Canis lupus familiaris: one gene and its partner. The protein of the gene in region 2 binds, or shares a complex with, the protein of the main gene of each other region. Links are inferred from orthologs where the notes say so. Each region holds a gene or a part of one and is shown on either strand. Other genes may lie near its edges.

Region 1 (4,567 bases), on a different chromosome or scaffold from region 2:
AAAAATTAGCAATTTTCCCATCAGAACTTTACCTTTTAGTCTCGCAAGATTCTTACTCTTGTATTAATTTACACCAATTTGTATTGCAAGCACACAGGGCTCATTGAATAGGAGACATCCTGGATTGAAAGTCTTGGGTTCTCGTTCAGGTAATATCTTGTCTAACAGTGGAGTTTTGGACACATTAATTACTAAACCTCATCATAACATGTGAACATGGACTATGTTAGCAGTTTCCAAACCCAGGTAGGTTTCACAATTACCTGATCTTTATAAAAGTGCATTTTAATCCCTGGTTCTATTCCTCAGGAATTTAACTGGCTTTTGAATTCTGTCTTTTTAAAAGTGTTGAGGGGCACCTGGATGGCTCACTTGGTTGAGCGTCCGACTCTTGATCACCAGTTCAGGTCGTGATCTCAGGGTCATGGGATCAAGTCCTCTCGGCTTCAGGCGCTGTGCTCAATGGGAAGGCTGCTTCTCTCCCACTCTCCCTGCCCCTCCCAACCCCTCTCTCTAAAATAAATTAAATAAATAAATAAATAAATAAATAAATAAATAAATAAATAAATAAATAATTTTGAGATTATTTGGATTCCCACCCAGACCAAGCAGAAGAGCAGACTTAAGGTAGAGAAGGTATATCACCTGCTAGTAAGAAAGACCTAAAGTAACAATGGCTTAAATAAGACAGCGATTTGATTCCTCATAAAGAAGTTGGGAGGTAGATAATCCAGGGCTGGTATGGCAGCTTTACCACATCGCCAATGTCCCAGGCTCCTTCTCTTTCTACTTTATCCGTATATGGGTGCCACTCCCACATGGCTTCCATCCTCTGAGTCACTTCATGTCTTCAAGATAGCCAATTGAGTTCCAGCCAATTGAGTTCCAGCAGGAGGCTGGAGGACGGGGAAAAAGAAGGAAGAAAGGATGCTCTCCCCTGATGAGTCAGCCTCCTACTTTCCCAGGAGCCCCACCTTGTCACTTCCATTTTTATGTCATTGGCCACCTCTGGCTAAAAAGGAGTTTGAGAAACATACATGTGGCCTTCTGGAAGAAGACAAGTGTTCTGTTAGGAAGGAAGCGGCAAGATGGGTATGGAATGAGCAACTGGCAGTCTCTGCCCCAGAAGGGAATTCTTAACAACTTGCATTTAAAGTGCTAGTTAGATACTTTGATGGTGATACCAGACAGGGATCAGAGAAGTGTCTGGAGTTCAGTGGATGTCAGGCGCTGAACCTATAGACCTCGGATGCTCTGAAAGTTATGACCAAAATGTTCAGAAATGAACAGTCACCAAGGGGAAGATTGTAAAGAGAGATAAGAATCTTGAAGAATCTTAAAGATAGAATCTTAGGAACCCAGAAGGAAGGAGTCTGAGAGGTGAGTGCAATGTCAGAGAATTTTCAGGAGGGTGTGGCCTGTGCTGCCAAATGCAGCATAGTCTGTGACAACGAGGCCCAAGTGGATCTGGTGACTGGGAATTCACTGGTGGTCCTCGAGAGGGCAATTAGTGGAAGAAGAGGGCAGAAAGCAGATTTCAAGGAGATGAGGCAAAAATGGAAGATGCGGAAATGGAGGCATGAGTACAGACCACATCTTGGAGAAGCTTGGCAGAGACAAAAGAGGGTCAGGGTCAAGAGTGGCAAAGGGTCGCAGAGAAGCGGGACTGGAGGAGCCATTTTTTCAAGTTCAGTGTGATGGCTATAAGGTATGTGATTTAGCTTCATGCACAAGGAGGGATCCTTGTTTAGGGATCCGGTGGGAAACCTTGCCTACATTAACATCTGTGCCACTCTGAACACTATGGGGAGGCTTTTGCTCCCCAGATAGGGGATACTGGGCACACACTCCAGTCTTCTGATGTCCCACAGCTGTCCAGACAGAGCAGTATCTCTTGATGCCCTGTAAGCCAGGCAAGAGCTCCAAGGTTTGATGAAGGGCTCCGCAGCTACCCAGTGACTGTGATGGCAAGGTCAAGTTGAAATGGGGTTTTCATCTGGCGGAGGACAGAAACACAGAGAAGTACTTGGGGTGAAGCAAAGACAGCAAATAGTAAAAGAAGTTGGAGGTTAGATGCTTCCAAAAAGCACAAAGATAGGAATGTGGGAAGCATGGCCAAGGCCAGAACAAGTCAGGAAGGGTATGGAAACCTATACCAACCAGGGTGTTGGTATAGACTAGAAGTGGAAGACACCTGGAGAGACAGAGCAGCAGCAGAAGTTCCCAGAGCCCTGGCAGGTCTACTGGATGGTATCTGATGGCCCCTCTTCCCCACCTAAACCCGACTCCAACCTGTCTACATTCCAAAGGGTCTTGACCCTCATTTCCTATAACTGAGACACAGGTAAGTGAGAACGAGTATATGTGGGATGAAAAATGAACCACACCAGGGTTCATCTCAACATGCAGATTTAAGTACATGCTTTGACATCCCCAGCTTCTTAAACCAAACTGATCTCTCCCAAGCCTGGGAAGAGAACAAAATAAGATTCTTTTTTATGGGTGAGTCGTGAGTCGTATTGGCTTCAAAAACTCAGCTAGTGCTCTGAGTGTGGTTTGGGGCATTCATTCCGCACTGACTTTCTGTGATACCTGTGGTAAATTAACTCACCTCTCTGGCCAGATAGTTTTCTGTGTCTTTGCAACTCTGAAATTCTACAAACCTGAGTGATTATGTGTAAAACTGCTACACGATACCTAAAAAAGAGATGCTTCAGAAGCACTTGCATTGGTACCAATGTGGATTTTGTATGCAATAGAAGGATTTTATGTCATCACCTTGGACTAATGGACATTCCCAATCCTTCTCCTCCCTCCCTCCCTCCCCACGCTGCCTATATCTTTGCAGGTGTGCATCCTTGAGTGTGAAGGGAAGGTCTTCAGCAGCCCTCTCTGGACTCCATGCACCAAGGTCATGGCCAGGAGCTCCTGGCAGCTCAGCCCTGCTGCCCCAGAGCACGTGGCAACTGTCCTTCACCAGCCAAGTACCTCTGAGATCCAGCTGAAGCGCATGCCTCGCATCAGGAGCCTAATCCAAGCCCAGGAAGGGACCGAGCCAGGCATGGATGAGGCTGGAGAGATAGAGCAGAAGCAGCTGCAGAAGAGATTTGGAGGCTTCACTGGGGCCCGGAAGTCAGCCCGGAAGTTGGCCAACCAAAAGCGGTTCAGTGAGTTTATGAGGCAGTACCTGGTCCTGAGCATGCAGTCCAGTCAGCGCCGGCGCACCTTGCATCAGAATGGTAATGTGTAGCCGGAAGGGGAGCCCCTCCCAGCTGCACCGTCCACTTCAACCCATGAGTGAGTTGGGCACGAATGAGCTGGGGGCAAAAGGAAACCTTATATACCCAACTGTCTTAGCCTTTCTCCTGGGCCTGGAAGCACATTAGCCCCCAGATACATACACACACACATCCCAGACCTCCCCAAGGTATTCAGCTCCTGGGAGGCAGGGAAGGTATATTCACCTCTCTGCCTCCTACCTATCCTTTCTCTAGGGAGCAAACATTTTCCTCAGATTGTTCCTTAGGGCTGACCACTGCCATTTAGAGATTGGTTACCATGGGGATAATAGTAGCCTGTTAAGATAACTAATTCCTCTATCACTCTCCAGGAGCTCAGTTACTATGGGGACAGTTAAGTGGACCAATCTACCTATCCAGTTGCCATAGTAACCATTCAGTTCACCTTTCCTCAGAGACTATCTAGGAACCCATAGCTAGACCTACTTCATCATCATCACTGAGCAAGGCTTAGAGAATCTGGGCCATCTTATGCCCAAGGGAATGCTTCTACATGTACTATAATACATATCAGATAATAAACATCAAACCCTCTAATTTATTGCCCAGTCATTACAAATTCCACTTTCCTTGGTCCGTCACCCTGTACAGAACTTCTAGTGGAGTAGAAAACTAGCACAGTGGAATTTTTCTGAAAATCTAAGAAAATTCTACTCATCAAACATATGTGCCTTAATTCATATATGGGAATCTGATTATCTGCAGAGCCTCATACCTCTTCGTTAACAGTAGAAACTTACCCTAATAGAAAGAACTAATCAATTGGTCATAAACATTCCCCCGAACATTACCCAAGTGAGGCTTTTCCCTGATTTAGGGGCATTAAAAAAGTCTACATGTGCTGTTTTATTTTGCTCTCTATATGTCAAAGGTAGCCAGATCATTAATAATCCTCATTTTCAAAGTATATTAATACAACTGTTAATCTTTGGCACCCACACTTCAGCATGGGGGCAGCCCACATAGCTCTTTGCAGGTAAGCTGGTTGTAGAAGATGCATTACCAAATACAGACGTAAGTATTAAATTGTGAGGAGAAGGCTGCCATGTGCATTTTAGCAGAATGACTAATCTCTAAAGGCCCTGAATTAACCCTCACGGTTTTTGAAGTCATACTTTTGGATCCTTAACAAGGATCCTATTCCTTCCTAAGCCATATTTGCATAGTACCTAACACAGCATATCTTTCAAAAGTGGCATGGATTGAATTCTTTCCAATCTTAGATATTTATTCTTCTTAAAGTCGCTCTTAAGGGACACTGAGGCTCT
Region 2 (5,059 bases):
GCAAACGGGCCATCAGCCGCCGCCCAGGTCCTGTGCGTCTGCTTCTTTTTGGGGGGGGCGCGACGAGAGAGCGTGTGTGCATGGGGGGCGGCAGAGGGAGAGAGGAGGCGCCGGCAGGCTCCACACTCACACGCAGCTCGACGTGGGGCTCGACCTCACCACCCCGAGATCGTGACCTGTGCTGAAATCCACGGGTGGCGTACCGGACCGAGCCCCCCGGGCCCCAAGGCTGCTGAAACGCCACGATTCCTTTGGGGACGTCCTTTACCTCTGCCTCAGCTGGCGATTGGCCCCGAGGGGTGTGCCGCCGAGGGGTCTCAGGCTGAGGGCCCGCTGGATGGCAATACATGATCTGTTCCCAACAGTAGTGGGACCCCTCCTTGTTTCCAAGGTGCCTGGGTGGCCGGCGCTGTCCCCACCCGCTCCCAGCTTGGACGGGGACCCTCAGGCTCCGCGGCTGCCCACCGGCCGGTGGCTAGCTTTCATAGAACCACCTGTGTGCACCTGGCCCCACGGTCCCACGTCACCTGTGTTCTGTGCTGTCCGCATGTGATGTGTGTTTGAGGGTGTCCTGCTTTGGCCCCGGGCCCCTGGCAGGACGTGTCCCCTGCTGTCCTACGAGTGACACATGAGCCCTGGGTCTTACCCTGGCTGCTGGGGGGACCAGAGGCCCCGGGCCGTTTCCTCTGTGCCGCTGGCTCCCTCGTGGGAGCCCCGTAGGGTCCAGGGCTGGGCCACTGTCCCCCAGGGTGGGCAGTCAGCATCCCAGCCTGGCCACCCACTAGCTGGGTGACCAAGTCTGTCCTTGGCTAAGACTGTCCCTACGAGTGGCCAGATATCTGCCTCTGGCTGTCCTGCGTGCCAGGTCCCCTGGGTGCACTCCCTGGACGTCTTTCTGGACCAGCCTCACGGCCCCTCTTTCCCTCGTCTGTGCCTGAGGCTAGATTGCAAGGAGGAGGGCGTGGGTGCCTAGGGGGAGGCAGGGCCTGGGGTGGGCTGCTCAGACCCCGGGGGCGCGGCAGGGGGAGGGAGGCTACAGGAGGCCGAGCCTCCCCGGGCTCCTGAGGTCAGCGGGGTCACGTTTCCAGCGTCACCTGGAGAGTGCAGTGCACACGTGTGCCTCCTGGGTGTCTTCAGGCCTTGTTCTCTCCCGCTGCGCGCGGGACTTGAATGCACGTGGTGTGAGCTCACCTGTGTGAGTCTGTGCGTGTCTGAGCACCAGCCTGTGCTTGTGTGTTAATTCGTGTATCTGGGGGGGGGCATCTTCGTGTGTGTTTGCAGGCATGTGAGCCTGTGTGTCCGCGTGAGTGTTCCTCTGGACGTGCCCCGTGTCTGCACACGTGTCCCTGAGTCGGCTGCGGTGAAGATGCAGAGGTAAGTCCTGGGGGACGGCCTGGGATGCTGAGTCCTAGGGCGCCTGCTTGCTCAGTCCTCTCCTGATTTGCCAGGTATCCTAGCAACGCTGCTGCTCGTCGCCTAGCAACCAGGTCCCCATCCTTGGAGATGGATGCTCCCAGCAGGGTCTGGGCTATGGGGGTAGAGCCTGTGCAGGAAGAATGACCCCAAGGTTTCGAGGCTGGTGACTTGGCTCAGGGGTCACCCTCATGGCCTGTGAAGCACCCTCCCAGTGCTGGGAAGGAGGCAGCTCCGTGGGAGCTGTTGGGCTGCTTGGGTGCCAGGGAGGGTGGCCCAGGCTGTGAGGGAATGATGCTCAGATGTTGCTCTGGGACCCAGGTGTGGCAGGGACGCCCTCAGTATGTCTCAAAGGGGTGCACAGATCTGGGTTCTAGCCCTGTCTCTGCCCCTTTGACGGGTGGCTGCACAGCGCTGAGGCTGGGTGCTCCTGTCACACGAAGGTGACGGGGTGGTGGGGAGGGAGCGCTCAGGCTCACGCTCACGCTCACGCTTATGCTCACGGTGGGCAGGTGGAGCACACAGAGGCACCCAGGAGCACAGCACAGTGTAGGCACCTGCTTGGCTCTGAGCCCTGGGGCTGGCTGTCCCTGTGTCCCCCGCCCATGGGACCGCGGGGGCCGGCTCCCCGGGGAGTGGAGTGCCAAGCCAGGCGGGTCTGCGTCCACCCGAGGTCCTGGTCTCTGCATCTTGTGTGTGTCTCCCGAGTCTCCGCCCGCGTGTGTGGCATCTCTGGCCCGGGTCTCGGTGGTGTCCTTGGGTGTCTGTCCCCTGACCCAGTCCCGCGTGCGTCCATGTCCTGTGTCCGTGGGCCCGAGCCTGTCCCTGTCCTTCAGCTCCGTGTGCGCCCGGTGCTGTGGCCTGGCGGTGACACCCCCCTCGGCCGCAGCCCCTCCTGCTCCAGCGCAGTCTCCGCCCCCGCCCCCCACTGGCTGCGGGGCTGCTGCGTCTGCTCCTCGGCTCCAGAAGGAGCAGCTGCTCCAGCGGGCTGAGCTCCCCCTGCGCTCCCCCTGCGCTCCCCCGGCTCCCCCGGCTCCCCCAGCTCCCCCTCCGGCTTGGATCCGGGCTCCCCTGCAGCCCCTCCAGCCCCAGATCACCGGCCGGGATCCCTGCGGCGCTGCCAGTGCTGAGGCTGCTCGGCTCCCACCCGTTGCAGGTAAGGCCTGGGCAGTGGCCGCGGGTGTGGACCGGCGGGGTGGGGGGTGGAGGAAGAGGAAGGGGGCGGCTGGCTCACGCCCTGCGTCCCAGGTGTTTCTCGGCGTCTCCGTCCCTTCTGTGCCCGTGTGTGCGTGAGGGCAGGTCTGCGCCTGTGTGTGCGGCGTGTGCACAGGGATGGCGGTGTGTCCACGGTCCCTGTGGGTGGGCGCGTGTCTCCGCGTGTAGCTACATCCGCACATCCCACGTGGGAGTCTGCAGGCCAGACCAGACCGTGCCCTTGTCCACACGCCTGCCTCTCTCTGTCCCCGATCTGTGCGTGTCTGCTGTCCCCACGGTGTGTACGTGTGCGTGTGTCTGGGGCTGTCTGGGGGCACCGCGTGCCTGCGAGGCCGCCTCCGGGCTGGGTGAGGGCCGGGTGCTGCGGTCATGTGTCCTGTTCTCTCCCAGGTGCCTAGTGGCCTTGCACACAAGGAGGTGGCATGGAGTCCCTCTTCCCTGCCCCGTTCTGGGAGGTCCTCTACGGCAGCCACCTGCAGGGCAACCTGTCCCTCCTGAGCCCCAACCACAGCCTGCTGCCTCCCACCCTGCTGCTCAACGCCAGCCATGGCGCCTTTCTGCCCCTTGGGCTCAAGGTCACCATTGTGGGGCTCTACCTGGCCGTCTGCATCGGGGGACTGCTGGGGAACTGCCTCGTCATGTATGTCATCCTCAGGTAAGCTGGGGACCCGCCGAGGTCCCCTCCTGGTGAGTGCCACCTGCTGCAGAGGGGACACAGGCTGGGGGCTGTCTTGGGTGGGCTTGGCAGCTAGAGATTTTGCACAATTCCCATTCAATTTTTGGTCATCCTGTCAGGCAGGGGCAGGGGCAGGGGCAGGGTCCGGGTCCACACGGAGGCCCTGCATGCTCGAGTCTTCACGGCTGGGGCACCTGACTGGGGGAGGGCGTGGGAGGGGATCAGCTCTGCCCACCCCAGTCCGGCCGGGGGTGGGGTGCAGCCATGTCCCAGATGGAAGGTCACCCTGACTCCCTGATCCGAGCTGCGGGCCACCCTGGGAGGGGCTCACGGCTGGCACAGCGACCCGGGAGGCGGCTCTGGCGGCCTGTTGCAGGGCCCGCGTGGCCAGGTGCCCGAAGCCCCTTCCCTGGGGCCCCAGGGCTCCGTCTTGGCTGGAGTCGGGGCTGACTCAGCATCTGCTGGTGCTCAGAGTGGGGAAGCCCGTGGGATCAGGAGCGGTGGCCCGGCTGCAGGTAGGGGGACACCACAGGGGGACAGTGTGAGGACGTGCATGTGTGTGTGTGTCCGTGTGTACACATACGTAGAGCATGCACACACACGTGTGAATGCACATGCGTAGGTGGGCACAGAACTGTTGGTGCCCACACACGGATGTACGAGAGTGTGTGCACATAGGAGCTAGTGTGGCACATGGTGTACACGCATGTGCACACACGTACATGCATGCAGGTGCACCTCAGGCTGGACATGCACACATGAGCACGTACACGCGAGTGTGCACACCGTGAGCGTGTGGACATGGACGTGTGCAAGGTGTGTGTTGGTGTGTTCGGTGCACATGCTTGCACAAGGGGCAGGGGAGAGCTGCTCTGGGCCCAGTGCTGAGCTCCAGGGGCCGGGGCTCACACGCCCCTTTGCGTCTGGAGGTGCACAGGCGTGCCGTGCGTGAGACGCGCCCCCACCTGGGTGGTCCTGTTCCCTTCTCCTTGTCGCTGCCTCTCCGCCTCTGTCCTCTGCACTGGGCGTCAGCGCCCGGAGCCACGTCCTGATCAGAGCAGACAGGGGCGCTGTGTCGCCTACGGCGGTCCTTGCACAGCCGAGCGGCCACGGGCCCGAGGGGCAGCGCCGAGCATGCTGGGCCCGCACTGGGTGGGCTCCTCGGGAGGCAGAGACCCCAGGCCCCCCGCCCTGCTCTTTCTAAGAGATTTTATTTTTAAAAAATTTTTAGAATTTATTATTATTATTATTATTTTTTGAGATTTTATTTTTTAAAGAGGGGTTTTAGGTTCAAAAGCAAAGCTGAGAGGAAAGGACGGAGGTTGTGCAGACTCCCTGTGCCCTGCGGGCTCATCCCTCCTGAACCCCAAGCCTCCAGCACCCCCTGCCCCGTCTACTGTCTCCAGAATGTCATGCACCCGGCATCACAAGTGTGCAGCTTTCTCAGATTGGCTCCTTCCCCTTAGTGATATGTGCTCAGGACTTCTCCATGGCTTTTCATGGCTCCTTTCTTTCTTTCTTTTTTAAGATTTTAAAAATTCCTTCATTTCAGAGAGAGAGCAAGAGAGTACACAGGAGAGGAGGGTGGAGGGGCAGAGGGAGAAGCACCCCCCCCCCCCGCCCCCCGGCCCCTGCCAGCTCATTTCTTTTTATCACTAAATAGTGTTCGATTTCCTGGATCTACCAGTTTGCTAATCCGTCAGCTACTGAAGCACGTCGCAGTTGCTTCCAGGGCCTGGCAGTAATGACTACAGC

The links. Proteins that work in one complex are often made in the same cells at the same time.
Region 1: the proteins of OPRL1 (region 2) and PNOC are in contact, whole or in part, in a cryo-EM structure (PDB 8F7X), measured with the Homo sapiens proteins. The link is inferred for Canis lupus familiaris from reciprocal best matches to the Homo sapiens genes OPRL1 and PNOC. Residues at the interface, in NP_000904.1 of Homo sapiens: Gln107, Asp110, Gly114, Phe115, Trp116, Val126, Ile127, Asp130, Tyr131, Met134, Gln192, Glu194, Ile198, Glu199, Cys200, Leu201, Val202, Ile219, Val279, Gln280, Val283, Gln286, Gln291, Pro292, Ser293, Val298, Leu301, Arg302, Thr305, Tyr309; in NP_006219.1 of Homo sapiens: Phe130, Gly131, Gly132, Phe133, Thr134, Gly135, Ala136, Arg137, Lys138, Ser139, Ala140, Arg141, Lys142, Leu143.

What each region holds. Positions count from the first base shown.
Region 1 is NC_049246.1:29,394,799-29,399,365, reverse strand, and holds part of PNOC (prepronociceptin), read left to right. Parts: intron 1-2,848; coding exon 2,849-3,239; coding exon of another isoform or gene 3,240-3,250; exon of another isoform or gene 3,251-3,297; intron 3,298-4,567.
Region 2 is NC_049245.1:48,375,106-48,380,164, forward strand, and holds part of OPRL1 (nociceptin receptor), read left to right. Parts: exon of another isoform or gene 1-1,281; 5' UTR 1,282-1,374; exon of another isoform or gene 1,375-2,569; intron 2,570-3,018; 5' UTR 3,019-3,050; coding exon 3,051-3,283; intron 3,284-5,059.